Regions from separate parts of the Mus musculus genome. Here regions 1, 2 and 4 are each reported to be linked to region 3. Evidence: microRNA targets listed by miRTarBase, many of them from high-throughput screens and not tested one by one. Region 3 holds a microRNA gene; each other region holds the end of a gene's coding sequence.
The links. Region 3 holds the annotated microRNA mmu-miR-128-3p (UCACAGUGAACCGGUCUCUUU, at 4,363-4,383, shown strand). A microRNA usually pairs through its seed, bases 2 to 8, with sites in the 3' UTR of a target mRNA and lowers its output. Matches are read on the target gene's strand: a 7mer-m8 pairs with bases 2 to 8, a 7mer-A1 pairs with bases 2 to 7 and ends in A, and an 8mer does both.

Region 1 (7,710 bases), not on the chromosome of region 3:
GACGCAGACCAACAGAACTTTACACTGCTCTGTATAACTGCACTATACTTATTCACTAAGCCATCTTTGCTGTAGTTAATAAGCAGGTCATTGACTAAGCCATTCCATTCTACTTATTTACTTAGACGCAGTCTCATTCTGTGGTCCATGCTGGCTGCAGATTTGTGATCTTCTGGCCTTGGCCAACCCAATACTGGAATTATTGGCATAAGCCATGTCTGGCTTTGTTCGCCATTAAATTCTTATATGTAGAGGGTATGAGGGCCTTGTACTTACATATAAGCACTAGGGGAAGCAGTATTGTTAAGCATGCAATGTTGTCTCTTCAAAGGAAGAGATGAAAAGCCTATTTTCTGCCAAAAATCTGGGAATGATGACCTCTGCCCTCACAATCTATGTGGTTACATCACACCTGACTGGCTGTCCCCTCCCTCCACCCTGACTTTTATTTTTAATCTCTGACTTTCTCCTGAGATCCTTATCTTGAGCATTGTTTCTCAGTCAATAGAACCCATCTTCATGGAAGATGTCATTGTACTTTGAAAAGAGTTTCAATGTCATAATGTTATTTAAGCTTTGTTGTAGACATAGGATTGAGTTAATTACAATCAGAGAACTCTTTTCCCTAAATTGTGCTATAGTTAAGTATCCCTAAAATAAACTGCTCAGGGTCAGACCCTAGAAGTTTCAACTAACACCAGTTACTGAATTTGGTAGATCCAGACTTCCTTCTTTCCTCATGCAGTTGGAAATTCTGCTGCCCATGGTTTGCAGAGACACCCCCCCCCCGACACACACACAATTATATGTCATTAGTACTCCATGCTGCTTTTGTCTGATTCATTGTCGTGTGCTGCTTTTGTCTCTGTGTCCCATCATGCAGAGTCTGTGCATCTTCTTCTACTTCCCTATCTGCCCAGGGTCAGGCAGGGCTCTCTCTCCTCTGTGTGTCTCTTTCTTACATCTGTTGCTCTCAACCTGGATCTTGGAGAAACATTTTGCTAAACTTATGACAAATCCAAAGAGGGCTTGTCAGTGAGGTTGGGGTCTTCATGGTTTCTGGATGGAGAAATGAAGCTAAAGGTTCAGTGACTCTCCCCAGAAGAGGGTCAGAATGCTGACCACAGAGGTGACATACCCTATAGGTGAGCCTCACTCAGTCCACAGAGAAGGCCAAGATGCAGCGTTAGCCCTTCCTCCTTTATGCATCTCCTAGACCTGAGCTCTATACTCTCCACTGTCTAATTGGTTATTCTAGGAAGTGACCCTCTGAATGGCACAGGGCCAGAGGCTGTGGGGAAGCTGCAGGAAGGACCTAGGTTGAAATTGTGTGGGAAGAATTTTCTACTCCATGGTTTGGATGTCCATTGCACCAACCTTCAACCCCCTTTCTCCACAGTGTCTCCACATCCAGTGTTACTATTTCAGTCATCTGTGGACTTCTCAGCAAGAGCCTGGTTTTCATCATCTTATTCATTGTCACAAAGAGGACATTTGGATGACAGAACTTGAAGCTATACAATAGTGACCTTCAGCGGTGTCTATTTCACAGGAGGAGCTGAGGTGGTGGGGCTGAGGAGGAGCTATGACATGAATTGAACCTGTAATCACCGGTGACGTCTAAGGCTCAGGATATCCTCAGCTGACCCTGTCCACTCTCCTCATTTTATCCATCATCTTGGGGATGTGCTCTGCACCCTTAGAAAAGGGGAAACCATTCCCAGAACACTCTGGCCATTCCCCCTAAATAGTTGGGTTGGCCTGAAATAAAGAGAAACTCCAGAGCTTCCCCCTGTCTCTTGTTGTGGGAGTCAAGAAGATTACATGGTCACCACTGATATCCCCACCTCTTGTCCTTCTCCTGGATGGTACAATTCTAGTCATTTTAGCAGGGCCCTTGCTCATGAAGCAGCCTGTCCTCCTACCTCTGGGCCTTCCTTTCTGGGAGTCAGACACTCAGATTTCTGTCTTCATCTGTAGTCCTCTGAACACTCCCAACCATGGACCAAGAAGACATGATCCTACCTTGACAATAATGCAACTGGGAGAGAGAAATCAAGTTAAGCTGGATGCTGTTGCCTGGGAAACACCTGGAAGAGATAGTATCCGTAGCATTGAATCAGTACATGGATGGCATCAACATGCTGTGTGCATTTTATTATTGACTTCTCAGTGCATGAGGGTTAAAGTGTATGTGATCAGAGTAAGGCCACAGGGGTAGCAGGCCATCACCTCCTGGCAGGAATGAAATCTAGAGAGTTCCCTTACTCAAGAGCTCCAGAGGCAGGGAGATGGGGAGCCAGACTCTGCTGCTAGCTGAATGCCTTTTTGCCTGGACTGAGACAGGGTCTAGCATGGCGGGGGGGGGGGGGGCAGGATCCTATCTCAGACTGCCCCCTGTGTGAGTCTACCTCCCACTCACCTTCCTTCACCTCTCAGTCTCAGCCTGGGTACCCTGTGGCTCCTGTGCTTTCTCTAGGACACACTGGCATTTGCTTGTTTCCACCTCTTTGGGTGGGAAAAGGATGGTAGATCCATTCCTTCTACTTCAGCAGTGGCTGGAATCAACTTCATCGAAAGGTTCCCAAGATCAAACCGCATCACCACAAAGCATCCAGCTCACTTGATCGCACCCAGAAGGCCGAGGAGTGGCTGAACCACGTATCTTATATCAGGAAAGCACTTTCCTGTCAGGGAGACTTTCCCTTCCACCTCCTGTGAAGATCCCAGGTCTTAAGGTGTGCTTCTGTCACATAAGGACGGTTCACTGTGAACGTGGCTCTCTGTGTAACTCCACCCTGGGGTGGCATCGCTGAGCACAGGGTATTCACAGCTGCATAATCTCCAGTCTGCTGGGAGAGGCCGCAGTGGAATCCACTTTGGGTTGGTGCTCTGGGACACGTCTTTGGAGGGCTGGTGCAGATGCTGTTCATCTCAGTAGGTTTGTTTCCTGACTGAAGAATCAAGCAGGGGTTTATAGTCAGGGGCTAAAATGCTTCCCAAGAAAGCCTGGGGACCAGAGTTCAAGCCATTAGAGCAAAATGTAAAAAAGCTGCTTAGGGCGGGCCATACCTATAATCTCGGCACTGGGAAAGCCAAGACAGCCAGTTCTCTGGGGCTTAGTGACTAGTTAGAGACCCTCTTGTGGTCAGTGAGAGACCTTGTTTCAGATACAACAACAACAACAAAAAAACAATAACAACACACACACACACGTTGTATGATAACTGTCATATTTCTTAGGTTATTCAATTTGCAGTAGTCCAGAAACCACCCTGGAGGAGAGCCTCAGTTGATGAATTGTCCCCTGCAGGCATGCCTGTGCTGTATTGCCTTCGCTGTTAATTGAGGTGGGAGTATCCACCCTGTATATGGCTGGTGCCACTTCATACACTGGGTCCCAACTGTGTATAAAAATAAGGAAGCCTAGTTGATCAGAAGCAGGCAGACCCCAAGGGTCCAGTTTATCCTCTGCTCTTGACTATGGATATGATGTGACTAGTGCTTAAGTTCCTGCCTCGACTTCTCCACAATAAGGGACTGTGACCTGTGTTGTTGTTGTTGTTGTTGTTGTTGTTGTTGTTGTTGTATTTGGGGGGTGGGGTCAGGGTGCCTTCCCAGGGCATCAGAGTAAAACTGGAACAATGACACATGTCTGTGATCCCAGCACTTGGGGGACTAAGGCAAGGGGCCTGAGGATTCAAGGACAGTTTGGACTTTGTTGTGAAATCCCATCCCAAACTGAAAAATAAATAAAATAAAAGCAGTTGAGATTCTGTGACTGTGGTGAGTGTTCTAGTGTCGTGCAGTGTCCGTGTCCTGAGGTAGCTGGTCTAGTTGGATTCTCAGGCCAGAATCACCGAGGCCGCTTGTTAAAACGCAGATTCCCAGTCCTTCTGCAGGCCTGTGAATTCAGGGCCTCTGAGGGTAGAACCCAGCTGTGACTGTGCATGCCTAGCTTCCTGAGTGATCCAGCTATGAGGTCTCACTGAGAACTATGGGTACAATGAGATGAAAGATGAGTCAAAGGCTGAGGAGAGGCCTCTGTTGGTAAAGTGCCTGTCACAGCAGCACAAGGACCTGATTCCCAGAAGCCACATACAAAACACCAGATGTGTGGTGTACGTACATCATCCAGCCCTCGGGAGTCAGAGACAGGCAGCCTAGCCTTCTTGGTGAGGCTCATGCCAATGAGAGATGCTGTGTCAGAAAAACAAAGTGAATGATGTCTAATAATGACATCTGCTTGTCTCCTGCTTTTGGGAGGTGAGCAAATCCGAATGTTCAGCCTCCTTGGCTTGGGGAGGACGGTGTGAGGGGTCGTGGATATGACAATGTTCTGGTATCCAGAGGCAGTGAGTGGAACAGTGTAGGGACCTCAGGTGTGGCAGAGAACGGCAGCCAGCCACAGAGCGTTTCTCAACAGATTGTGGCATCAAAGGAGGAAGGAGGGTGTCACAAAAAATGGGGTTCTCTCCTTTTCCCCCTCCTGTGTCTCCCAAGGCAGCTTCCTCTTGTCACATTTCCCTTGGTGTTTCTCAATGGGACAAAACAGCGGAACCTGTGAGAGCAGAAGTCGGTCAGTTTCTATGTGGGGAAGCATGCTCCAGCAACTGTAAGTGATTTGGCCACTTGCCTTGGGGCCATTGGCAGTTAGCACACCAGGAAGGAGCTTCATACAGAGGAGGCAGGGACCTGGGGGATGTCACCGCTGCTGCTATGGCTGGGGCTGATGCTCTGTGTCTCGGGTAAGGAGAGGCAGGTGAGGAAGCTAGAGGACAGGGTGTCAACAAGAGGGATGAAGCTCGCCGGGGGGGGGGGGGTAGCTGCTAAAAGTGTACTTATGTTCCTCAAGACAGCCTGGGTGGAGACCAGGGTATATGTTAGAGATGGGTCAGTATTGAGAAAGAGATGGACAGAGACATTGGTGATCCCTCCTGATGCAGCAGAGAGTGGGCTGTGAAACAAGTTGGAGGTTCTTCTTGGACATATTGAAGTAGAGAAAGTTATGTGGTGGTAACCAGGCAACCCTCTTGCGATGTGTTGATTCTCACCTAGAGGTAAAACCAGGGAGGCAAATCTCCCTTAAAGGAACAATCAACCACGGAGCAACATAAAGGGCAGGTAAAGAAATATATCCTCCAAATTAACCAACAGGTTGATGGAAATCTCATGGTTCAGTATTTCACACACAGTAAATACATCATAAAATATGTCATGGTGGTAGTAGTGTAACCTACTACCCACCCATGGCAAGAAAGACAGACCAAGAAGGATAAAAAGATTAATGCAGTTGGCACTGTCTGGTGGATGCCCCCCTTAGACAGATGGACAGGGGTTGAAGGGGGTTTCTACTTAAGGATACAAGGAATAAACAGAAAGTTCTGTGTGCCAGGCAGGAACGGCCATGTCTGGGCCACCAGACATACAACAGAAAACAATAGAGAACTGGGAATAGTGGGACATGCCTGTCATCCTAGCAGTCGGGAGGCTGAGGCAGGATTGTGGGGAATCTGAAGCAGTCTACGCTATATGTTGAGTTCAGATCAGCCTGGGTTGCAAAGTGAGATCTTGGAATGAAGGAAAGAGGGAGGGAGGGAGGGAGGGAGGAAGGGAGGGAGGGAGGGAGGGACAGAGACACATAGAGACACACAGCTGAGAGAGGTAGGGGAGAGGTACAAGAGAAAGATAGAGAGGCAGATAGATGGGAGAGAGAGAGAGAGAGAGAGAGAGAGAGAGAGAGAGAGAGAGAGAAGGAGAGAGATGGAGAAACAAAGAGTGGGGAGAGAGAAAGACAAAGAGATACACAGAGACAGAAATAGATAAACAGAGACAGACAGAGAGGTGGGAAAGGAAGAAAGGAAAGAAGGAAGGAAGGAAGGAAGGAAGGAAGGAAGAAAGAAAGAAAGAAAGAAAGAAAGAAAGAAAGAAAGAAAGAAAGAAAGAAAGAAAGAAAGAGACACACAGAGAGATGCACATGGAGAGACACAGAGGCAGAAAAGTGTGAGAGAGAGAGAGAGAGAGAGAGAGAGAGAGAGAGAAAGGCAGGAAGGCAGATGGTGGATGGCTGCCTGCACATACACACATGTTTCTAGAATTAGAAATGGTGATGCAATCTGGTAAAGCTCTTTTGTAATCATTCAATATAAAAATTTCCCACTCTACAAGATGCAGACTGAGTCTTCCCTGCAAACACACAGCTTAGATCCAATCACCTGTTCTGGATATTTTGCCTGGTTTACTTAACTGATATAGACACACATAGAGCAATCAAGAGCTCTGGAATAGTTACAGCGCTCCTAGATTCCCCTGCCATGCTTGCTGGGGTCATGAGTGTCCCAGCAATGTGTGGCTGGAGCAGAAGGCAAGTTGGCTCCATGAAACACGTATCTCCTATTCCAGGACTCCAAGCTGGAGATGAGGAAGAACACAAGTGTTTTCTGGAGGGCGAGAACCTGACCCTGACTTGTCCTTACAACATCATGCTATACTCACTGAGCCTGAAGGCCTGGCAGCGGGTCAGAAGCCACGGTTCTCCAGAGACTCTGGTGCTCACAAACACCAGAAAGGCAGACTTCAACGTGGCCAGGGCTGGGAAGTACTTGCTGGAGGATTATCCCACCGAATCTGTCGTCAAGGTCACGGTGACTGGGCTGCAGAGGCAAGATGTGGGGCTGTACCAGTGTGTGGTCTACCTCTCTCCTGACAATGTTATCATTCTGCGTCAACGGATACGGCTGGCATGGTGTCAAGGTGAGCTCCGGTGAACGTTCAGATGGAGTCTCTTCCTGCTCAATAGTGGGGCAGGGACCCTATCTTCCAGGAGGAGCTGTTTTAAGGAGGCAGCTCAGGGTAATGGGGGGGGGGGGATTCTAGATCTTTCCTTCTTCCATAGTGTGACACCAGGAAAGTCACATTCTCTGTGCCTTATTTTTTTTATTTATTTATTTATTTATTTATTTATTGTCTGTAAGACAAGGACGTTGGATGTGGTGAACTCAAAAGCCATCTACTTCCACGTCAGGAAATCTGCAAGAGAAGCTGGTAACTGTCACGAGCCACGCCTGCGGCTGATTATTTGTCCCACTGCCTCTCTGTGTCAGGAGGACTCAGGATTGCGGTCATTCACTGTGTTCCCCTGCAGATCATCGAGCTGTTAGGACCCCCACAGGCCCACCCCTCTCAAAAGTCCCTGGTACAATTGTGAAATGGCCTAGTTTGAACAATAGGATACCTGCTTATTAAGATTTTAGGTTTTTTTAAATTTGCCAAAGATAACATATATATATATGACATCATATTACATAATAAGACAAAAGAAAAACTATCTCTGAGTTGGACATGGCAACCCAACAGGAGGAAGAGAGTCCCAAGAGCAGGCACAAGAGTCAGAGAGCCACCTGCTCCCTTTCATGGATTTGACTTGTGGTTTATAATGAAGACATGGAGACCTCTACATCGTTGAAAACTGTTGGCCTTCTGCTGGGCAGTCTCTCAGCTAGCTCTCTAACTTAGCCTTGGCTTTTCCGACATCTTGCCTCCCTGTGTGGTTCTCAGTGCCTGCTTACATCTCCATTCTGTCTTCGTTCTGTTTCTCCTGAATCTGCTCCATCGCTTTACAGCTCCTGCAACTCTTCTCTCTGCCCTGAAGTCCCGCCCCCACACTTCCTGCCCCAGATCCAGCTGCCAGCTCTCGATTATATGGAACCA
Region 2 (7,710 bases), not on the chromosome of region 3:
TCATTTTTACAGCTCAAGCAGTCATCTGCCTTATGACGAACCATTTTAGCATTTTCGATGGAAACGTGCTAAAATGATGGGTGATAAAAATGTCATGGGCTGGTAAATAATGATCATCGCCTTAGCTGAGATTAATACTTGAAAGGCCGGTTACCTTCAATTAACATTATAACTCAAAGCTTGTCCTTTTCCCAGCCCAACATCTCGCTTTGAGGCTGGGGAACAGAGGCGACTGTTGATAATTTCAGATGGGAAAATTAACGGGATGTGTACTTGATACTAGGCATGCAGTATACTTTCGCAGTCAATGCAGAAACAGCATAGAGCTGTTTTATTATATATACACATATATGTATATATACAATGTAAGTGTTGTAGAATGGTTTTCTAATACACATATTATCCCACAGTTATCCCAACAGCTTTGCATTTAACTTCTCTGTGATGTGAACTATTCTGTCTTAAAACTTTATCTGTCTAGCACCTTAAATGAAGTTTTGAGGCCCAACTTTGAGTATGGAATACTTGTAACTAAATTGAAAAGCAAAATTGTGATTACTCATTCTATATAAATATGTGGCATTACCAAAGAAGACAACCAATCAGAAAGGCTCATTGCATTGTTCATCCATTTTGCTGAGAGATTCATGTGTATGCCAGTGCTGCTGGTGTTTTATATAGAGCTTAGACTATATATATATATCCCTGTTTAATAGAAGAAGCTGTGTTTTGGGTTAGCTGCTTTATGTGAGGAGCAAGCCTGAAATGAAAGTTTAAGGAGTATTCTTGCTACAGAAAGATTCCTGAAATGCAATTTAAAATATGGTATCAGCTAGCTGGGCCTTCACTACACACCCTCATACTTGCATAGGTCCTGGGGTGTTCTGGTAGGAATGTGTGTGCACAGCTAGCTCACAGTATGTCCTGCAAGCAGCACCTACATTTAAGTCCAGCAATTAAGAGCATCTCAGTTAACCGTGATAGTATATTCTTAGTCGCCAGGTGAGAATTAAAGGCCCCAGTGTTTTGCTAATTATCCGCCTAGGGAGCTCTCAGATGGGCGGAGCCATCATGGAGAAGAGGGTGATGGTTCTTAGCTCAGCAACAACATCTACTTGTTTCAAATGACATCAAGAGGAACCGGGCATGGCAGCACCTATCTATAATCCTAACACATGGGAGGCTGAGGCAGGAGGATTGTTGTAATTTTAATAAGGCGGGCTTCTTGATTTTCCTAGGGGGAATTCTAAACCAGCCAGGGCTACATGGTGAGACCCTGTTTCTCAAAATGAAAAATAAAATCAACCCTAAATAAAAACCATACTGTTGTAGAAAATGTAAAATGTAGACTCACAAACCATGCAGGAACCAACCTTCTAATGCTTCCCTTAACCGGGCAGGTACAGTGATGTGGAAAAGGTGTTTGTAAGGCTGTTATCTGAAAGCTTTATGGATGTGCTTGGAATTACAGACACAGGGCTAAGATGCTGTGGTTTGGCCACTTAAAAGGTTCATTTGGTGGTTGTTTTGAGACACAGGCTATGTCACTTGGCTGAACTCAGTATGTAGACCAGGCTGGCCTTGAACTCACAGAGATCAGCCTGCCTCTGCCTTCCAAGTGCTGGGCTTAAAGGCATGTGCCACCGCATGAGGCTTTACAGTGTTTCTTTCAATATACTACAAGTTAAATTTGTGTTGAAAAACAAATGTGGCTAAGTTCATTAGTCCTTAGAATATGTATGATGTAATTAAGCCCAAGAGAAAAGGCACATTTTTCTAAAGGTATAGAATGAAAAAAAAATCATCTCTACAGGTGGTTTCCTGGGACCTGGGGTTCTCCATTCGGCACTGCTGTCTTCTGTGTGGTTAACCTAGCACACTTTTGATAGGACATTTTTATATAATCATTTGTTCTAATCTAAGCATTTATCATTATATGCAAAGAGCTTTCTTGATGAGAATGCTGTAGATGGTGCGTGGTTTTGACGTTAGCATTTTATTTGGATGACTGATCTTGCAGATGTGAAATGTCAATGAATTATTCATGAAATTGCTTTCCTCTGAAATTTTAGTTTGGCTCTTCATGTTAGTTATTAAACTTTTTTTTTCTCTTTATCAAATTTGATGAAGAAGACAGTATGTTCCCTCTGAAGGAGCTGGCCCCTCCGCCTTTCCTTGGGACCTTTCCTCTGGCCTGCTCGCCGACGACCTTAGTGAGGGCTGGTTGTGAATCTGGCTTGGAAAAGCTGCTAAGAGGCAGCTTGGGGTGTGTGCCTGACCCAGAGCCTCAGCAGGTCAGAAGTGGGGAAAAAACTTAGTCTGTGGCAACTTTGTCTACCAGTGTGAACCACCAGCACTTTTATTGCATTTAAGAATGCGCTCATGTCAGTAATTACTACTGACTACACAACATTTTTTTTTATTGTCTGTGTCCACAGACATGGAATGGTGGAATTACAGTTGATATCAAGGAATGAGATTCTTTTATGTCTTATCAAAACAAAACAAAACGATCCCTGTTAGCGGCAGCACAGATACAAAGAGCACCACACTCACAACCCAGACCGCACCGTCTCCACCCAGGCTCCTGGGTAGCAGGGACCGCTTCGAGTTACAGTGGACCCACAAGACGCCGTTAGAATTGTCCATTTGCTTCTCATGATAATAAAGGAAAACCAAGTTGCAAAACACTTCCAGACTGTCAGGAGGGTATGGCACTGGCCAACAGGTACCAACAAGATTCAAATAGCAGAGTTTGCTTTATGCCCTTGGAGACAGAGAGCTCAGCTAGAATGTGGAAAAGAGAGGAGAGACTTCAATATTGTAACTGAAAAAAATAAATAAATAAAAAGAGCTAGTGATTTATAATGCTTTTGGCTCTATCATTTTGTTTTATTTTTTTAAACCAAGGCTTTCTCTTATTATGGCTGATGAGATGCTAGGAATATGAACTCAACTGTCTTTTGATGTGGGGAGGGGATTGTCAGCTAGGTCACCATGCAGGTAAGCCTAGGCTGTTCACCCTGAGATGGCTGTAAGCCTTCTCACATGAATAGACCCCTAAGCTCATGGAGGGTGGGTCCTCATCAGTGACTGTGTGTGTCTGACACAGGCTGACCTCCCTCACGTTTGCTAATATTTACTAAGAAGAGAAAGAAAAAGGTAACAAATTGTCTTTACACCTTGGGACCTTGTAAAAAAATTTTTTTTATACAAAAAGTTCAATATTTCAACACTCCCCATTATTAATCACTACTTTACTCATAAAACTTTGAAAGTATGAGCCTGGAATTTCATCATGCAAAAATATTGACTGCAGCAAGAGAGAACATTTTTTTTTTTAAACAACTTTTTTTTTTTCCTTTTTTCAAACTTAGGAACTTAAGATAGTCAAGGAGGCAGTGGTATGATAAAACACAAGGACTAGGAATGTATCAAAAACAGTAACACACACTCACTCACACACTCACTCTCTCACCCCCATTCCACAAACCTGTACAAAATGTTCCAAATAATGAGGATAGGAAACACATTTTGTCAACTATGTTACAATTTGAGAGAGAGAGGAGGGGGAGGGAAAGAAAGAGATGTGTGTGTGGAGTTTTTCTTTCTTCCCATTATCAACATGTCATCCAATGTTTGTAAATCAAGGGCAATAAAATGAAGTACACACGCAGCATTAACTGCAAAGCCATTACAGACAGTAGACTTTTTTCCCTCAAAGATACTATTTTCTTTTCCTTCTTCCTCTTCTTTTTTTAAATGTATTATTAATAAAATGCAGTTGCACAAAAAGCAAAGATGTTTTGACAAACAGGTGTATGCATTTATTCCTTTTTAGGAACAATACCTAAAAAATAAAATAATTAAAACAAAACAAAACAAAACGAAACCAAAAAAACCCTCCCCTCGGCCCTCCCCCGCAAAAGACAAAGATGCACACAGACACATCGGGATATATGTACAACCGAATCAACCCCATTCAAACGAAGCGGGAACCCCCCGAGGGACAGAATCAGAATTCTAAAAATCAGAGTGAAGATTGCTTGCTGTAAAGCCTGAGAACTTTTTTTTTTTTTTTCAGTTGGTTCTTCTGCCAGGCTATGACACCTGAAAAGATACATAAAATCTAATTTTTTCTCTTTTATTTATTTTCTTTGCTACAGTCTTTAGACTAAGCATGCAAGACATACGACTAAGTACGACTGAGTGAAAGGTATATTTTTAATTTTTTTTTTAAACTCATTCCCTAAAGGTTTGAACTGAGGTGTGCGTACTAACAGTCCCCATGCTGTTATCTTTACTCTTGTCTAGCTACACATGCTGAGAATGAACTAACCTACCAGAGTTTTATCCTCTTTTGTATATCTAACCAGCAACCACTCAGTTTAGAAGCACAGGGCCCCCTTCCCATGACCCGGCCTGGCTACTGCCTGCACACTGTGAAGCTGCCTGGAAAAGATGGGTGGGGTGGTGGTGGAGGGGGCATGAATAACCACAGACCGCCCCTCTATAGAAAGCAGAGCAAACCTTCAGAAGTCATTGCCAAAGGTGTTCTACTCTAAGCTTATGAGTGGGTGGGAATGTTAGCTTTTTTTGTGTGTAAATGAAAAACACTGACCAAATCATAATCTGAAATAGGAAAAAAATAAAACAAAACATCAACAAAAAGCAGAAGGAAACCAGAGGATAAATGCCAGGATAAACCAAGATTAACGCAGTGATCAGAGCACAGCCCTTAAACAAAAGTGGCGTACGAATGTTCTAAAAATCTCTTTATTCTAGAAGTGGCCTCGAGCGGCCAGACACTTCTCCGTTCTCTCTGAATTCATCCTAAGTGTCTCCTCGATTATATACTAATTTTCAGCATCATACATTCATTTCTTTTTCTTTGAGATGCTAGCCCATTCTTTCCACAGGAGCTATAATACTGTTGTCTTGATTTCTTTTCTCTGCAGTAGCCCCGGATTTTCTCCTTATAGGAGTTAGTTTTGGTCTCTCTACAGGTAGAGAAAAGAAGGAAAGAGAAAAAAAAAAAAAACAGGAAAAAAAAAGTAAAAAACTTTGGTTCCATTGCCTACATAGTCTGCTAAATGAACTCTGCTGACGGGCAGTAATTTCCCTCAGGTTGGCAAATAGCCTGGACCTCATCATTTGCCTCTGAATCCTTTCGCCTCCTTTGATCAACAATAAGAGGATATTTGGCTTCATCAGATAAAGTATAAAAGAAAATAATTTACCTTTGCGTAATATCTTTGGTAATTTTAGAAATAAAAAAAGGTACAAAGTATATAAATTAAGCTCCGAAAGGCTCTCAAACTAAACCCAAACAAAAGCTACAGCCCCAGATAAATACATGCCAGGGAAGCGGGTGCAGACGGAAATGTGGAGGGGTTTGAAGGGCCGAGGGCATATTGACCTAGAGCCATCTCATTCTGTGGGCCCTGGTCTGTCTACCTGGTGTCCTCTTCCGTGAAGTCTGTGCTACTGGGGTGGTGGGTGTGGTGCTCACATTGCAGACCAAGCTGCAGTACCGACTTAGCACACTGGAACCTGACACATTAGCGTCTGCTGAGCTCAGTCCTCATTAACTCCCATAACAAGTTCAATGTGAAGTCTCATTTGCATTAAAACAGATGAATGCCACCGAGCAGGTCTGAACTACTGTACAAACTTAGCCCTGTCACCATGCTGGCTTTTTGGTCATTTTGCAAACAGAGCAACCTGTGCGGGTGAGGATGGCACAGGGCCTGTGGTCCTGGTCACCTGATTATAGGAGGGAAGATCTTCCATGGCCACTGTGACAGTCTAACTATTGAGGATTGTTTATTCTCTTCTGTTTCTTTCGTGGCTGTGTTTCCTGATGCTGAGAGAATGTGGTGGCAGTTACTCACAATGGTGGGTGCTATGAAAAAGAAAAAAAAGAAAAACCTCCAACAGTCCCCCATCCCACCCCCAATACTGTTTTTGTGAAATGAATCTGCCATGTCCCTAGAGTGTGCGCGCGTGCGTTTCTCTCTTTCCTTTTCTGTCATTCATTCTCTTACTGGCAGGATGTCATGTCCCCGTGTGGGGACCTTCAGGTGTAAGGTGCAGCCTTTGGGATCTTTTTTTTTCTTTTCTTTTCTCTTTTTTTTTTTTTGGAAAAAGACCAAAACGGAATGTTTTGTTTTGTTTTGTTTTAAACTTGAGAGAAACATGGTGATGTCTATAGGAAAATGGAATGAGTGCCAGAAAACTACAGACGAGAAATGACATTCAGCTCTGTATAATAAAAACGCCTATTAACATTCATCACAAGGTACAGAAAACGCGAAGCCTCCAAGAGGCCCTGGGCCCAAATGGAGGCCTGAGGTCAGAACTTAAAATGGTAAAGAAGCCAAAAAAAAAAAGAAAGAAAGAAAAAAAAACAGTAAAAGAAAAAAAAAAAAGCAATACATTAAAAAATTTGGGATAATTATTTTTAACCCCTCCCCCCAATACACACACAAAGGCCTTCCCCCATCCCAACTGGAAGCGAAAAACAAAAACAAAACAAACCAAAGTGAGTAAAGGCAGTGGTATCAACATGCAGCGCTGTGCAAAAAGGTCGTCCACTGGAGTCTTGAACTCGGGCGAAGGCTTGGTCTGCAGCGCAGGTACGTGAGCTCAGTCGGGTGTCCTCGGCGCCCGCCCAGCATCAGCCGGGCGAAGCTGCAGTTCAAAGTCTGCTGCTAAAAGTGAATCCGTTTATCGAATTTACAACACTGATGTTGACTCAAAGAGGAAAATCCCAAGTACCAAACAGGTCCATCCAATGCACAGAGTACAAATCCCTTTTGTCAACAAAAAGTAGAAAAATCAAAAATACTCCCAAATGGGATTCTTGATGGCACTAAGAGTTAACACGTTTCAGAGTTGTCAAAATGTAGCGAAAATCCTCCAGACTGTACAAGAAACGGAGGGCGGGTTTCACTGCTAACTTTTGACGTGGTTTCTTTTCTTTTCCTTTCTTTCTTTTTTTATTTTTTTTTTAAATTTGTTTTGCTTTTTTTTCCCCAATCTTCGGTCTCGGGGGTCGGCCCGCCCAGAGGTTCACTCCATGTCCTCATTTACTGGTTCGTCTTCGTAATCTCTGTCATGGTCAAAATCTGGACTGTGGTTGGCTGTTGTCACTAAGGACAGAGGGCCTTCAGCTTCCTCGGGGTCGAGGGGTTCTTCTTTGACGTGTATGGGGTGCCTACAGAGAAAGAGAGAGAAACAGGCTTAGGGGAACACCCGGATTGCCCTGACGCTGGTGTTGGAGCAACCTACAAGAGGTGCTACAGAGATGCCGCCCAGTGGAGGCAGGGTAACCTTGGCCACAACCACAGCCAAAACCAAGTTTTTCAAAGACGGTGGGAAACTTCCTATGACTGCTGGACATTTTCACTGCCTGCAGCCCAAGGGGTTAGGGGCCATATGAGGCCAGGGGCTTCTGTACTGCTCGGTGTATTAGCTGCATTGGTAAGAGTCTTGGATGCTGCTTTAGAATAAACTCTCTATGGAAATCATTTCTCTTGCTTTTCAGGACACACAAGTTACCCAAGGCCCTTGTGACAGTACAGTGTATGGAGCTCAGACTGTGCATTTCTAAGAGATTCCAGGTGATGGGGCTGGTCCCAGGACCGTCCTTTGGAGTACCAAATAACAGGCCCCGTAGTGACATCCTGGGTGGACGAATGCCACCCT
Region 3 (7,710 bases):
TGTGCTTTCCTAATGCCACTAGAAGGAGACCACTATCCACCTGAGTGAGGCTAAGAACAACCTGAGGGAGGGGCATTGAGTTTCCCAAATATGTCCATGGGCTCAGCTCACTTTCCTTCCCCTAGAGGACTGGAGGAATGGGATGGGCCAAGTGCCCATTAGTGTCTGAGTGTCTGATGTCACCATTCCTAAGGACTAAGTAATGGCACACCACGGAGAAGGGCCAGGTAAAGTTGCCCAAATCTTTGCTAAGCACAGAAAGAAATACAATTTAAGGGGAAGAACAAGATTAAACAAACAGAAACGAGTAGCTTCTAAAATCTACATATATCAAGTTTGACATTTTTTTCCAAATTATGAATGCTCATTAGGAACTTTTCAAGTATTGGCCCTCCATTCTTTACCTTTGAAGTGTTTCTTGATTAATATTCTATCCTAGAAGACTACAGAAAAGATAGCACGGGCTGGTGAGGCCAATTTGATCATTAGGCCCATATGCTGGAAGGAAAGAACTGACTCTCACAAGTTGTCTTCTTACCACTATACCCATTCCATGGCATGCAGAGTCCCACATCTATCTCCACATTCCCACAAAACACACTTATGTATACACTGAAATAATAAGTAGTTTTAAGGAATGGGCATTGTAAACACAGAAGTGGATGCTCACAGTCAGCTAATGGATGGATCACAGGGCTCCCAATGGAGGAGATAGAGAAAGTACCCAAGGAGCTAAAGGGATCTGCAACCCTATAGGTGGATCAACATTATGAACTAACCAGTACCCCGGAGCTCTTGACTCTAGCTGCATATATATCAAAAGATGGCCTAGTCGGCCATCACTGGAAAGAGAGGCCCATTGGACATGCAAACTTTATATGCCCCAGTACAGGGGAACGCCAGGGCCAAAAAGGGGGAGTGGGCGGGTAGGGGAGTGGGGGTGGGTGGGTATGGGGGACTTTTGGTATAGCATTGGAAATGTAAATGAGCTAAATACCTAATAAAAAATGGAAAAAAGGGGAATGGGCATTGTATTTATAAGCTTATATGGAAATAACACATAATCTTTTTCCTAAGGTACAAGCCAGAATAACAGATGCGCACATATAATGATAATAGATAGTTCGGAGGTACTTGTACTTGTTCTTAATATTGTAGGGCATCTATGTAATATGTAATATGTAATAGCGACTTTTAACTGTATCAAGAAAAATTTCCAGAATAGATCTAAATCGATTTGCTCATGAATTCTTTATGTTTTTAGTTTTTTTGAATTGAGATTATCAAAAGGAGAGAACAGACTAAGGAGATGATACAGCTCATAGCATGCTTGGTAAGGCAGCATGAAGATCTGGGCTGGGACTGCTAGCACCTGTAAAAGCTGGGTGTGGCTATGCACATCTGTAACACCAGAACTGGGGAAGGTCCAGGGTAGAATCAAGCAGGTCCCTAGACTTTATTGACTGCCCAGTTTAAACAAGCTGTTGACCTGAAAGCTGTTGACCTGAACGTTTAGTGAGAAACCCTATGCCAAAAGTAAGATGGAGGGACCAGAGAAATGACTCACGGGTTACAGATGACCTGGGTTTCAACTACCAGCACCTACACAGTGGTTCACCACTATTCATAATCCCAACTCCAAGGGATGTGATTTCCACAGACAGCAGACACGAGCAGAGTTAGGGTGTACATACACACAAGCAGGCAACACATTCATACATGAAGATTAAGACAAATAATCCTAAAACGTAAAGTGGAGCTGCTGACGAAGACACCCAACATCACACTTTAAATGCACACACACACACATACACACACACACACAATGAGAGAGACAGAGACAGAGAGACAGGTTAAATGACCACAAATAATGAGTGCAATTAGTAAATGACTGATTGCTAAGCAATGAGGCAGAATAGTTCTAGGCTCTCCCAGCCCCTTCCCCTCGGTCATCTACCATACTAGAAAGTGAGAATACAGTTCATGTTGATTCCATGGCATTGCAAAACCACAGCCATACAATGTTTTCTTTGCTTCCACCTTCTTCCTGAGGTATGGGAACATATTATACACTCTAGTAGCAAGAGGGAACACTAGTATCTTATGATATAATCAAATCAAAAGATAAAATAGGCATAAAAATCAGAGCTATAAGATAATTAGTTCACAATCTTCTTCTATACACACAACTTGTATACTTTGGAGTATATAGTGGATGGCCACCTATTCTCCCTTTAAAGATGAGAAGAGAAAAGCCAGAGGCCTGAAGACAGAAGGAGTTAGCTGAAATGAGTAAGAAACTAGCATCACATAGCATTAATAGGTAGGCAAAGATGTCTTCTATATCAGGAAGCATCTGATCTCAATGGGAAGGGTTAGGGTGTTTTCACTGGCTGTCAGTCATTAAACAGTAGACAGAAGGCTGGCAGGCCTGAGGGGTGTAGACCTGTAACCCCAGCATCTGAGGAAAATGAGGTAGGAAAATTGTGAATTCAAGACCTTCCTGAGCTACAGAATGAGTCAAAGTCTTGGCAACTATGCATAAGACCGTCTTAAACTTCAAAATAAAAGGATCTCCAAGAATGGCTGGGGAGATTGGTCAGTCAGTAAAATGCTTACCATGCAAGCATGAATACCTACCTGCATTCGATCCCCTACATCCACATTAAAAAGCCATTCAGAGTGGCTCATTTTGTAATCTCAGAGCCAGCCGGGCAAGTGGAGAGAAGTAGAGTCCCTGGGTTCCTCTTGCCAGCTGACCTCACTGATCAGTAAGTTTCACGTTAATGGGAATCTTGTTTCAAGCAAACAACATGAATAGCACCTGAGGAATGACACCTAAGGTTGACCTCTGGCCTCCACACCCATGAACATGTACACACACACATACATACACACACATACATACACATACACACACACACACACACACACACACACACACACAGAGAGAGAGAGAGAGAGAGAGAGAGAGAGAGAGAGAGAGAGAGAGAGAGAGACGATGCCTAGGGATACAGCTTGGTGACTAATAAGGGGCTTACCCAGCAGGCACAAAAGCCTAAATTCAGTCCCCACTACTAAAAATAAGTTTGCAGAAGATACCTACACAATATCTTAACATAGATCCATTTATATTACATATGCTGCAAATTTTGATACAGGCTATGTATAAATCACTCTTTGAATCTTTGGCAAGACATCAAGTGGCCTTTTGCTGTTCATGACACAGTCACTAAATGGGCCCGACTCCTCCCAAGAAGTTCATTTCAGTTCCATATGGTACTGACTGGAGCACCTGACCCAGACTGTGCTCAACATCTGAAGATTGAGGGGCCAGTCAGCCAGTCAGCGGGGAGGGGAGTCTCTGTCCTCCTAACACAGCAGGATAGATAGGTGTTTCCCTGGAGACTAAATCCTCTGCCCCTGCAGTGGGGTTGCAAATCTCCTTAAAGTTCCGGTATGGGAATGGCAGACATCACATCACTTTTGCCTCTTTGCATTGATCAAAGCAGGTTCCTCGGCTTTAGGCAGGAGATAGCTCCCATCAGGGGAGAACGAGCCTGCACATTGAAACAGGTGTGAGAAAGGATGCTCATGGCCCACCTTCAACATCTGCCACAGTTAATGACACTGTATCGCAACAGTGGGTTTTATGTGAAAAAATATGTTTCTTGTGAACAGCTCTCATCTCTGTTTCTCTCTCCTCTTGTCCCACAGATGTCCGTCTATTACTACCCATCTGGTCAGTACCCTACCTCAACCTCACAGCAGTACCGACCCCTCGCCTCAGTCCAGTACAGTGCTCAGCGGAGTCAGCAAATACCACAGACCACACAGCAAGCAGGTACGGGAAATGTTTCCTTTCAGTCCTCCGGCTTGGTTATTTTTGATGGTGAATTTCATAGCTGTACTTACTGGATGAATACCCAAAGAGAAAATTTAAGTCACATGTTTCCCCTACCCGGGGAAACTAGCAAAGCAATTGATTCACTCTGTGGGAAACTAAAAGGCGCGAGGAGATGAGAGCCTATGAGCCTGCGCATGCTCAGTTGTTCCCCAAAGCTATTTTTACATCCTCTGAGTTTATTTTAAAGCAGAGAAACAAGCGCATCCCTATCTTCCAAGCCCAAGTGCTTTGTTGTTTCCTTAGTCCTTAAGGGGCCAAATTAGGCTGTGTTGATACTGTCCTAAAATCCAGCGCCGGCTTTAAAAGAAGGCTCCTGACTATGCAGCGTGCAATATTGGAACTCTGACTCCATGTTTTACTGCCACGAAGGCCACATGCCTGACACCCAGAGCCCCGGCAGCCACTGTGCAGTGGGAAGGGGGGCCGATGCACTGTAAGAGAGTGAGTAGCAGGTCTCACAGTGAACCGGTCTCTTTCCCTACTGTGTCAAACTCCTAAGGAATGCCGCTTCCAGAGAGCAGCAGGCGCCCAGCAGGGCTAAGGGAAACGCCGCTAGGCAGAATTCCCTGTCAATCCGGCCGACCAAACTGCAGGGAGAAAGTGCTAATTGTCATGCTGAAGTCTCTGCCTCTGTAAGTAGGTCACACTAAAGAGCTCCTGCTGCGGCTCTCCGAGAACGCCTGCTCTGAGGTCTGAAGTCTGCGATGGATACAACCGTACAGGAATGCGTAATATGTGCAGATACACGTGGGTGACATGGATAAGATATGTGCCATTTTTACAAGCTAGAACAAACAAAGAAGCAAACAAACAAATTTACAGTCCTTGCCAAGGATTTAGCTACAGGCACAAACACCGCAAGAACTCCAATGATGCTGATGCTGATGCTGATGCTGATGCTGATGCTGACGCTGACGCTGACACTGATGCTAAAGCTTTGCCAGATCCAAACTGGAGACAGAATTCAGTTCTTCTGCACGTGGCCATGTGTTCTTAATTTCATTCACCACTGGCCCATTTAAAGCCGTTTGAGAGAAATTAGAGGAACCTATGAGAGCCAGTTTTTAATCTTGTTTAAATGCTGTATTTCTCTGGGACCTTTGAGTGACCCTTGTACTTTTATAAAAGTAAGGACAAAAGTGTGTGAAGTCATTTTTAAGGGAAAGCCTTCGACCTTGCATTGTGCAATTGCCAGGAAATCTGCAGCTTGTTGGTAGGGACTGTGCGGTTCCTTCCATTCAATCCTACAGGATAGTGCACTTGCATGTGAATGGTCCCGTCTTTGTCTGCCTTTGTATACTTAAAGATTATTCTTTAGCACTGTGAGAAAGCTGAGCTGGTGGCCCTAATTTGATCATCAGAACCCAGGTCTAACATAAAGGTGTCTGTGTGATGACTTGGGTTTGTAATCCCAGCCCTGGAGAGACAGAGACGAACTCACTGAGCCCGAGGCTCACTGGCCGGCCCGCCTAGCCTACTGAACAAACATCAAGCCAGTGAGAGAGCCTGTCTCAAAAGCCAAGATGTGCAGTGCCTAAGGAATGAAACAGCTGTCCTCCAGACTCTACACATGCGTGTCTACCTACACATACACCACCCTTGCACTAGTGTGCAAACGCACACCCAAAGTTACCATTTAATCTCACGTACCACAGAGAAGGTTGCGTTTGAGTCAGGAATGCATTAGGAAGAAACATGATGCAGGTCATTAATTCTACTGATCTCACATGTATCTAGTGTAGTGTCTGGGTGTGACTTTCAGAATTCTAAAGAGATATTCCACGATTGGGTATTATAGTAGAAAGGGGGTGTGGCTACAACAATGTAGGAACCTGATAAGTGCAGAGTCTGTGTCCAGGTCCCAGAGCCCCAGAATTAGGATTAGAGCAATCACTGGTAACACCTTGGCCATGCCTCCTCTCCTCTGTCTTTCCTTATGACTGATGACATATGAGAAAGTAGCTGCGATGTTTTCATTCTTTTATGAGGTGTAGTGGGAATATTGAGAGACACAGAAATCCCTCCTGCATCCCTGGAACATACATGTAGATAATCTCAGCCACATAACTTGGCAACCTGGTGTCATGTAGGACCATGGATATGCAATCCCCTAGGAGAGTTGGTAACCGATGTTTTATTATTATTATTATTATTATTACAAAGAGTAAATCCTATGGAAGGCTTGTATTCAGAGTGGGGACAAGGGCAGGTTCCACGTGTCCAAGCCATGGGTGACAGTCATTGTGGTCTGAGAGTAAGAGACAGGAAAAGGGAAATGGTTCAAGAATGGCGTGGTCCCCAGACGTGCCACCAACAGCACACAGATACAGAATGAGATCTTTGCCCTTCCAGGTTTGATGATTGCACCTGACACCTGGCCGACAGTCCCAGCAGAGCTTGCCCTACAGAAAGTGAGTTTACTGTGGATTAGTGAAGGCAGATGGTAGCTCAAAGTCACAAAGAATCCTGTGCTGATAAAATCTAACTGTGAACTGTGATGACGCGAGTATGCTCTACATTCTGGAGGAAGGATGACCTACGGCCTAGTGAAAACCAGCAGAGTTTAAATATGCCACAGTGGGGTTATTTATGGGAATGTTCCAGTAGTTGGACATTGTCCCTTTAGATGGTTGTTACAGTTGTGTGTTCTGGCCGGGCTGTGCAATGCCACTCCCACCCACACCCCCTACTCCATCCTCATCATCTTTACGGATAAACTCTGGTCTAGCTGACTCAAAGCCACTCTACAGATATGCTCTGTCTAGTCTTCCTGCTCCAATCTGGGCTATCGCATACTAGAGCATTTTTGTCCATTAAAGTCAGTGAGATTTATCCCCACTCTGTTCTGAAAACTCCCTGCCACTTGTATTTAATTGTAATAAAAAGCATCTATCTCTTCCACGTTCTTGGCAGAGTTGATCCCCTGTCAGGTTACAATGCCTTGCCTAGGCCTTAAAACTCCATGTAAGGTCTTGTTTTTATCATTTTTCCCATTCACGTGTTTGTGTTTGTGTGTGTGTAAATGCATATGTTTATGAATACACATCTGCATGCGTGTGGGCAAAAGAGTGTGCAGGTAAATGCGGCAAGCAGTGACTCAAGGTTAATGTTAGGAATCCTCTGTATTCACAGATAGGGCTAGCCTGAGTGGCCAGTGTTCTCTGGACTCTATTTTTCAATGCTGGAATTACAGACAGGCCCCCTTGCCCACCTGGCATTTACTGGGGAGCTGGGGATCAGAACACTGGTCCTAATGCTTGCCCAGCAGGTGTTTCCCCCACTCTTATCTTCCTAGCACAGACAGTGGGTTTTTATAAAGAAAACCAGAGTCCTTGCAGCTGGTGAATGAGCAACTGAGCTCGTGGATATTAGTCACACCAGGGACAAGAATCTTCCTCTTGGTGACTTCCTTCTGTTTGCTCCATTGATAGGCAATACTAAAATTAAAAATCTCCGCCTGACGATAATGATACACGAAGACCAGGGATAGTAAGCAGTTTTGGAGAAGCCAAAGGGGATATTTCCAAAATGATATTTGGATCTCACAGTTATTTATATTGGAAATTATAATCCTTTATTATAGAATATCTCCTATGGGAAATGTTCTGTGCACATTTGTAAATGAGCACTTGAGAAAAATCTGTGTTTGCCATTTGAGCAACACTGGCCTTATAAAAGAGACTGAGAAGTGTACCATCCCCTTCTGGTTTTGTTGTTGTTGTTGTTGTTTATTTGTTTGCTTGGGGGGTTATTTTTTGATTATTTGTTTTGAGGAGACTGTGTGAGTTTAGAGTTTTATTTTC
Region 4 (7,710 bases), not on the chromosome of region 3:
CGAGTCCAGCGCCCTTCCATTTGTTATCCCTAGGTAATCCCTAGGGATTGCCTTTCCTCAGCAATTAAAGAATTTAAAAGCAGGAAAAATCTCTAAGGTGACAGCAGCAAGGAAACTGAAACGTAGCACGCAGGAGCAGACAGAAATCAGCCCATTCAGAAGAGATTTTACTAGGGGGTAAGGAAGAACACAGAAAAGACGCTCTGTAAAGCAACCCAGCTTCCTCTCCGAGACAGTTTTTTCATCTTTTGACTCTTAAGTTTGGAGAGTTCGGTTTGAAGACAGGACAGGTGACTACAAAATGCAGTTGCTTATCAACTAGTTACCTGTCAACACCTGTACTATTCATCCAGCTACAGTATCCTGGGATTTCTATAACATGTAATGAATTTGGACACTGCCATGAATTTATTGGCTATTTGAATTTCCTCTTTCAAAACGGCACAGAACCAAAGCGTTTTCGCACATTTTCAATGAGGTTTTTTTTATTTTTTTAATCTTTGAGATGCTGGATCCTTAACATATTTAACTATGAGCTACAATGGTCTCTTTTTTTTATTGTCATTTCACTTATATGGACTTTCTGATGCATATGAATTCTTAAATTTACTATAACCTTTCTCTGATACCCATTTCACTTTAAAATGTTTGCCTATCCAAGATGACAAAAAAAAAAAAAGTTTGATATTCTCAACTAGAAGCTTCAAGCCGCCTTTCCATTTAAATAGTTTGTCTATCAAACTATAGCCCCTGGATAAATGCTACTCCGAATCTTGTGGTTTTGGACAAAGAGTATTTTATTATAGTTTTGTCTTTTGGTTGTTTGGGGTTTTTTTGTTTTGTTTTGTTTTGTTTTTTGTTTTTGTGGTTTTTGCAACTGAGTTTATGTAGTCCATGCTGATTGGAACTTGTGGCAATCATCCTGTTACTGCCTCTAAGCGCTGAGATTTACAAGTAAGCACCACCAGTCTGGCTTACTTTAAAAAATGAAACTGAATCTTCTGTAATTTTCACTGTGAAATACAATTTTTAAAAAATCAGAGTCCATATGTAAAACTTTATTGGACACATCCACACACATTTGCCTACAAATCATCTATAGCTCCTTCCACATTACAGTCATCGGTGGCTGAGTAGTTGCAGCGGAAATGATATTGAACACAGTTTAAAATACAACTTTTCCCTTGCAGAAAAAAAAAATGCTGATCTGTGGGATAAGGTATAGATTTTAACTATATAAATTATTTTCCCCAAACCACAAGAAAACACTTCACACCACTAGGGCAAAAAAAATAAATTAATATTGGTAAGGACATGAAGAAGTCAAAGTAGTCATACATCAGTCAAACGTAAAGTGAACATCATTTCCTCAAAAAAGCAAACAAAGATCCAGCAATTCCACTCCTAAGCATCTACCCAAGAGTACTGAAAATTTATTGGCACATGAGTTTGTATGTTTTTAGGACAGCACTATTCTTAGTAGCCAAAAAAAAGGAAGCTGAAATGTCCATCAACCAATAAGCAAGATAAGGTTTTAATCATATGGCAAAATATTTTTCAGCCACAAAAAGGACCTTGAACATACAACATGAACCTTTAGAACATTATGCTAAATGAAATGAAGTTACAAAGGGCCACATGTCTTATTTTTCCATTGATCTGCAATGTAAAGAATTGGCAAATGCACAGTGAAAAGAGACTGGTGATTGACAGAGTCAGAGGAATGGGAGGATGCTAATATGTACAAAGGGCTTTTCTATGGATAATGAAAAATTTCCTCACAACCACCCATAATGAAATCTGATGCCCTCTTCTGGTGTGTCTGAAGATAGCTACAGTGTACTTGTGTTTAATAATAAATAAATCTAAAAGAAAGAAAGAAAGAAAGGAAGGAAGAAAGAAAGAAAGAAAGAAAGAAAGAAAGAAAGAAAGAAAGAAAGAGAGAGAAAGAAAGATGTCCTGAAATTACAGAATGGAAGTGACTCAACTTGTGAGAATATCATGAACCACTGAATAGTCCCTTTAATTTTAAAAACTTGAACACTAGTCTATTTTATCAGAAATGACCATTAATGCTGAATACCTATGGTTATTAAAGCATAGATACAAGTATAAACTTATTTACTTGGTTTTTTTTTTTTTTTTTTTTTTTTTTTTTGGCTAGGACTTCATTGTTCATATTCTGAAACCATTATCTTCAGAATCATAGATTAGATGTTTTCCTGTAAATGGGTTTACCCTTGCACAAAGCTTTGTTCTCCATACCTGTCTCTGCAATGAAGCCATTTCTTTAACTGTGTGTGACTCATGAAGACGTTCCATCTCTGACTTGTTCCTCCCTGTAACTCACATGGTGGAAGGTTTCTCATCCCTAAATCCTAACCTCTTGTTGCATGACATCATACCCCTTACATATCACACATGTAATTGCCTTTCATTGGGAAAGGAAATGAATGATCAAGCTTTTTAAAACTGTAATCATATTTATCCAACATAGACACCCCATCCCCTTTCTCAGCTTTACTTTTCTCTCAGGCATCAACCACCATCTGATACATGCTGTGCAATTATTCTTCTCCCCTGCTGAACTGCAAACACCTTGTTCTGCCTTCTGCTACAGTACCAACTCTTACTGCACGTACTCCATACAGTTGCTGAAATAAGAAAGACATGAAGTTGATGAGCAGTCTGCAGGCAGGCATACTTGAGCACTGATAACTTGAAAATCAAAAGGATATAGGTTAATGTTAACTAGTTAAGACACTGAGCATAATTTTAAATGTTCCCCATCTCCATGTTGGAGGTAAAATCTGCTCTGGCACTGACACATTCTTGGGCTCCAGACATGCTTGATGAGGCTGAAATATGCCTCCTTCTTGGCCAACCAAGCAGACGGGGATGGGATTAAAGTTACAAGAAAGTTACTCTATCTTTTCTGAGATTTCTTTCCACAAATGGCTACTTACAGAACTTATTTTATTATTATTTCTTATTGTTTGGGTCAGGGTCTCACTATGTAGCCCCTAGCGGTCCTGGAATTCACTTTGTAAACCAGGCTGGCCTCAAACTCAGAGATCCACCTGCTTCTGCCTCCTGAGTTCTGGCATTAAAGGTGTATGCCACCATGCCCATGAACATTCATAGTATTTAAATCTCTAAACGAGTAATAAAATTCAAGGCTGTTAAAGTGGTGAACTCACAGAGGCCAACAGAGGCAAAATAAGTCTTCTTTTCCTTTAAAAAAAAATTGTTGCTATGGAGTGGAAAGGGTTGGTTTACTTAACTTGCTTGGTAAAAGAACACACTTCTGTCAGGAGTCTAAAAAGAACTATCAAGTGAAGTTTATCACCTACAGATAATATAACAAATTACCACAAAAAAAAAAAAAAAAAACCCAAAAACAAAAACAAACAAACAAACAAAAAAAACGTGGCTTAAAACCGCACATCAGGTATTCAACAGACTGTAAGGACAGGAATAGTTCCTTCTGGGGAGACTCGGGGGGAAGGATGCACTTTCTTGCCTCTCTGGCTTTCAGAAGCCACTCATATGTGGATTCTCCAGCCTTAAAGCCAGGAACAGTAAGTTAAGCACTGTTCAAAGTCAGGAAAAGTAAAATAATGTTCAGTCTTTGAAATACTCTATATTCACTTTCTCCATCTGATTCCAGCCCAAGTTTTCTCTACCTATTTAAGGGCTGTGTGATTACAGGATACTTGTCCTGATATTCCATTATACTCTTCTGTCTGTTCCCCAGTCAGGCCTACGACTGAAAATTGCCCAGGTTGCACTGGAAGTCATCTGGAACTCTCCCAACTCAAATCTCACCTTTCCCCCTTTAGTCAAAAGTGTCCACCTTCTATACAGCCGTCATTTTCGCTACACCAGTTTTCCCTGCTCATCTGAGAAAACTAGGTTTAGAAAAGAGCAAGGGGAAACAGTTCACCCTCACACAAATCCCATGTGAACTTACTACAATTTCAGAGTTGACACCTCTTCCTTGCGGTGCTTCCCTCAGGTTTCTTGTTCCAGAATCTGAAATGCAGTATCAAGAAGCAGGGACACTACTAACACTAATGGTACATGCATGTTTTACTTGAGAATAACAGACACCAAAGTGCTGCACCCTTGAGTGATATAGACAGTCCACTAGGTATTTGCTAATGCCTTATTCATACACATAACATGAGGACCTGAACTCTACACAAATTAGTATCCGAAATAATCAACAACAGTGAAGGCAGGTGACAACTGAAATACAGTTCAATATTGTTCATTATAGAGACAATCTGTAAGCTACAAATGATTGTGTGGTGTGTGTGTGTGTGTGTGTGTGTGTGTGTGTGTGTGTATACCAATCACAGTACTCAATAATATTCTGAGATAATAACTGTTCCAAGGACTATTTTTGTAGGATATCTGACAATATCTTTGGCCTCTACTCACTAGGCACCAGTCCCTTCCCATCATACGGGTGCTAGGAACCAAACCCAGGTCCTCTGGAAGAATAACAAGTGCTGTCTACCACTCTCTCTCTATCCCCATCATATGATAACCATCTTGCTGTCAAGGGCATGCATACAGAAGACTGAGATGTCTAACTTCCTTATGAATCTACTCAACAGTCTTAATCATCTCAAAACAGGCTTATGATTCTCTCTTCACAGGAACCAAAAGGTAGAAGACAGGATCAAGTCAAAATTTCCAGGAGGAATCAGAGGCCTTTCAAGCTCTCAACCAAACTGTCGAGCTTTCAGTCAGCTAACACTGCACTGGGAAAGGACATGGTAAGATTATTCCAGATTTTTCTTTAACTTTCTCTTCCCTATCCTTAGACTCCTACGCCTCTCCCTCCACAATGCCATAATCTTTATATCCAAAATTCCAAAAGAAATGATTCTAGGCTTCGGGACGCTCTGATTCCAGAGAAGCATCTGTCAGTATACACCTGGAGTTGCTTATGGCTTCCTGTAGCCATGATCTAGCCTTTGTAGGTTGTCTGACAGTATCTTTGGCCTCTATCCACTGGCAAAGATCTAAGAGACTCCAAATTTGTTTCCTTTTAGCTTCACTTTTATATACGTTACCAAATTATTATATAAAACTGTATAAATAAAAAGGAAAAAGAACACAATTGTAGTCTCCTAAGAAGCCACTTAATTCTATCTTCCACTGCTAACCTACAACCAAATACGACCATAATTATAGTAACAATAAATCTACTTTTACGCCTTCTTTTACAATGATCTGAGTATTTTTAGGATGGCAATGAAACCTTTGGATTTTGCTTCAAAGGACCTGAACTCTACACAAACTAGTATCTGAAATAATTAACAACAGTGAAGGCAGGTGATAACTGAAATACAATTCAATATTTTCTTGTTCAACGCCTAAAGCAATGGATCCTATTTCTTAGAAGCAGCCCTTTCCACCACGGAGAGTATTTTAGTCTTAAGAGGGTCAACTTCATTTCAATCACAAGCAAGTCCTATATCCAGTTTCACCTCACTAAATGCGTCATCTGTGTTCTGGCGGGACCATAAAACAGAAGTGCATTCAAACAGAAAACCCTAGCTACAGCCTGTGGTAGTTTGTAGAGCACTGTGTAAGACGTCCCACCACTACGCCTTTATGGAAACAGGAAAGTACAAACTGACAAAAGTGTCACTCCCAAATAACACTTCCAAGCTTTGACTCTATAATAAACATTTGCTTGCATACAATAAGGTGATACTGTTCAAGATGTCTGGTTACCTACTGAATGACTTCACAGGTTCTTTCCAGTTTCAGTATCCTGATGTAAAGGTAAATGAGTGTCTCTAGGAAAATGCCTTCCTCGCTGACGGTGCTTTATTTCAGTGTATGCGCTACGTGTTTGGTATAGGCTGAATCATCCCTGAAGCCTTTCCTACATTGACTACCTTTCAGTCCTCTCTTCAGGAGTTCCCTAATAACAGTGTTAATGCAATTATAGAATATCTCGTACTTAATTTTTTTATATATATAAAGAATTCTTTTCTGCGAGCAAGGGAAGTCACATCTGAAAACAAATCCTTTGTTCACTCAAGGACAGCATGGCCCATGTCCATTATGTTTCCGTGGGCTGCTCTTCAAGGTGTGTTCTCTGATGTCGGGCAAGACACCAGCTCCTTCTAAATATTTTCCCACAGTGAGGACACTGGCTGGGACCCTCTCTGTTATGAAGTCTCTGATGTACTACCAGGTGAGTGTTCTGTCTGAAGGACTTTCCACACTTCAGACACTGGTATGGAGTCTCCTTAGTGTGAATTCTCTGATGCTTGGTCAGACAGGAGCTATCCCTAAAAGCTTTACCACACTGATTGCACTCATAAGGCCTTTCACCAGTATGAATTCTCTGGTGCCGGATAAGTCCAGCAATGTTCCTGAAGAGTTTACGACACTGGTTACAACCGTACGGCTTCTCACCAGTGTGGACCCTCTGATGCCTGATGAGATATGCACTCTCAATGAAAGTTTTCCCACACTCTTTACATTCATAGGGCTTCTCCCCAGAATGAATTTTCTGATGCACAATGAGGTGAGAGTTGCGACTGAAGGATTTCCCACACTCTACACATTCAAAAGGCTTCTCTCCAGTGTGTGTCCTCTCATGCTGAGTGAGGTATGAGCCATCTCGGAAAGCCTTTCCACATCTGCTACACTCATAGGGCTTCTCTCCAGTGTGGATTCTGAGATGCACAGTAAGGTGAGAAATGTCAGTGAAGGGCTTCCCACATTCATTACATCTATATGGTTTTTCCCCTGTATGAGTTCTTTGATGCAAAATCAGGGATGAATTTCTGTTGAACGTTTTTCCGCAATCTAGACATGCATAAGGCTTCTCACCTGTGTGAATCCTCTGGTGTTGTGTCAGTGCTGACCCATCACTGAAAGCTTTCCCACACTTACTGCATTTATAGGGTTTCTCTCCTGTATGAATCCTTCGATGTACAATCAAGTTGTAGTTCTTGGAGAATGATTTTCCGCAATCATTACAGGTATACGGTTTCTCTCCAGTGTGAGTCCGATGGTGTAAAACCAGAGAGGAGTTCCGTTTGAAGCACTTGCCACATTCGGCACATTTATACGGTTTCTCAGCAGAATGACTTCTTTTTTCATTAAGAGATGAGCTCAGGGCTAAGATGTCCCCAAAGTCCTTACCTTTATAAAATCTCTTGCTTCTTTTCTTAATTTTTTTATCACAAAGGGCAGTGGTAAAGTGGTTTAAGGATTTAACACTTTCTGTGTATTTATAGGATTTCTCTCTCATTTGGTTTCTTACAAGTTGAGTGGCTTCCATGGAAGGTTGGGTGGCTTTCTCACAAGCATCGCCGTCAGCAGTTCCCTTAACTGCATAACTTGGAGGGCAACTATGTAAGGTTTGGTCACAATCAAAAGTTTTAATATCTGAGTTAAAAACATGGAAGCCGTTTGTCCCAGGAACTCTCTGAGAGGGTAGAAGGGCTGGATTTGTACTCAAATGCTCCCCCAAATTAACATGGCCACAATTTGCTTCCTGTGCCTCTGTTTTCTCATCAATTAAAGGAGATTGCCTCAAATTTCTTTCCTGGTTCTCACAGTCCCAATTATCACCTAAAATGGGGAAGCAGGGAGCCTCTCTTGTAAATCCCTCCATTTCTACCTCAAAGGAAATACTTTCTTCTTCAGGAACATTCTGAGCTTTTATTT

Region 1: miRTarBase lists Trem1 as a target of mmu-miR-128-3p. Seed matches in the 3' UTR shown: 8mer at 2,766-2,773 and 7mer-A1 at 3,540-3,546.
Region 2: the mRNA of Foxp1 is a reported target of mmu-miR-128-3p. The part of its 3' UTR that is shown has no 7-base or 8-base seed match.
Region 4: the mRNA of Zfp329 is a reported target of mmu-miR-128-3p. Seed matches in the 3' UTR shown: 7mer-A1 at 4,359-4,365 and 7mer-m8 at 1,685-1,691.

What each region holds. Positions count from the first base shown.
Region 1 is chr17:48,243,147-48,250,856 of GRCm38, forward strand. It overlaps Trem1 (triggering receptor expressed on myeloid cells 1), which reads left to right. Exons shown (of 4, transcript NM_021406.5): 4 at 1,400-3,778. The coding sequence ends at 1,502. It overlaps Trem3 (triggering receptor expressed on myeloid cells 3), which reads left to right and starts at 4,583. Exons shown (of 4, transcript NM_021407.3): 1 at 4,583-4,748; 2 at 6,403-6,753. The coding sequence starts at 4,703. The region is part of intron 1 of Gm52308 (a long non-coding RNA gene); the gene reads right to left. Gm52307 (a long non-coding RNA gene) reads right to left here and starts at 6,912. Exons shown (of 3, transcript XR_003952372.1): 1 at 6,496-6,912; 2 at 4,130-4,561; 3 at 2,880-2,954.
Region 2 is chr6:98,923,016-98,930,725 of GRCm38, forward strand. It overlaps Foxp1 (forkhead box P1), which reads right to left. Exons shown (of 19, transcript NM_053202.2): 19 at 2,327-7,219. The coding sequence ends at 7,075. Among named protein-coding and RNA genes, the nearest start is that of Gm38865, 200 kb to the right of the region's middle.
Region 3 is chr9:112,115,317-112,123,026 of GRCm38, reverse strand. It overlaps Mir128-2 (microRNA 128-2), which reads left to right and starts at 4,316; the gene lies at 4,316-4,391. It overlaps Arpp21 (cyclic AMP-regulated phosphoprotein, 21), which reads left to right. Exons shown (of 21, transcript NM_001362020.1): 19 at 3,718-3,844.
Region 4 is chr7:12,803,939-12,811,648 of GRCm38, forward strand. Zfp329 (zinc finger protein 329) reads right to left here. Exons shown (of 2, transcript NM_026046.3): 2 at 1-7,710. The coding sequence starts at 7,657. The coding sequence ends at 6,089. It also overlaps a transcript of Zscan18 not described here. Among named protein-coding and RNA genes, the nearest start is that of Zfp329, 11 kb to the right of the region's middle.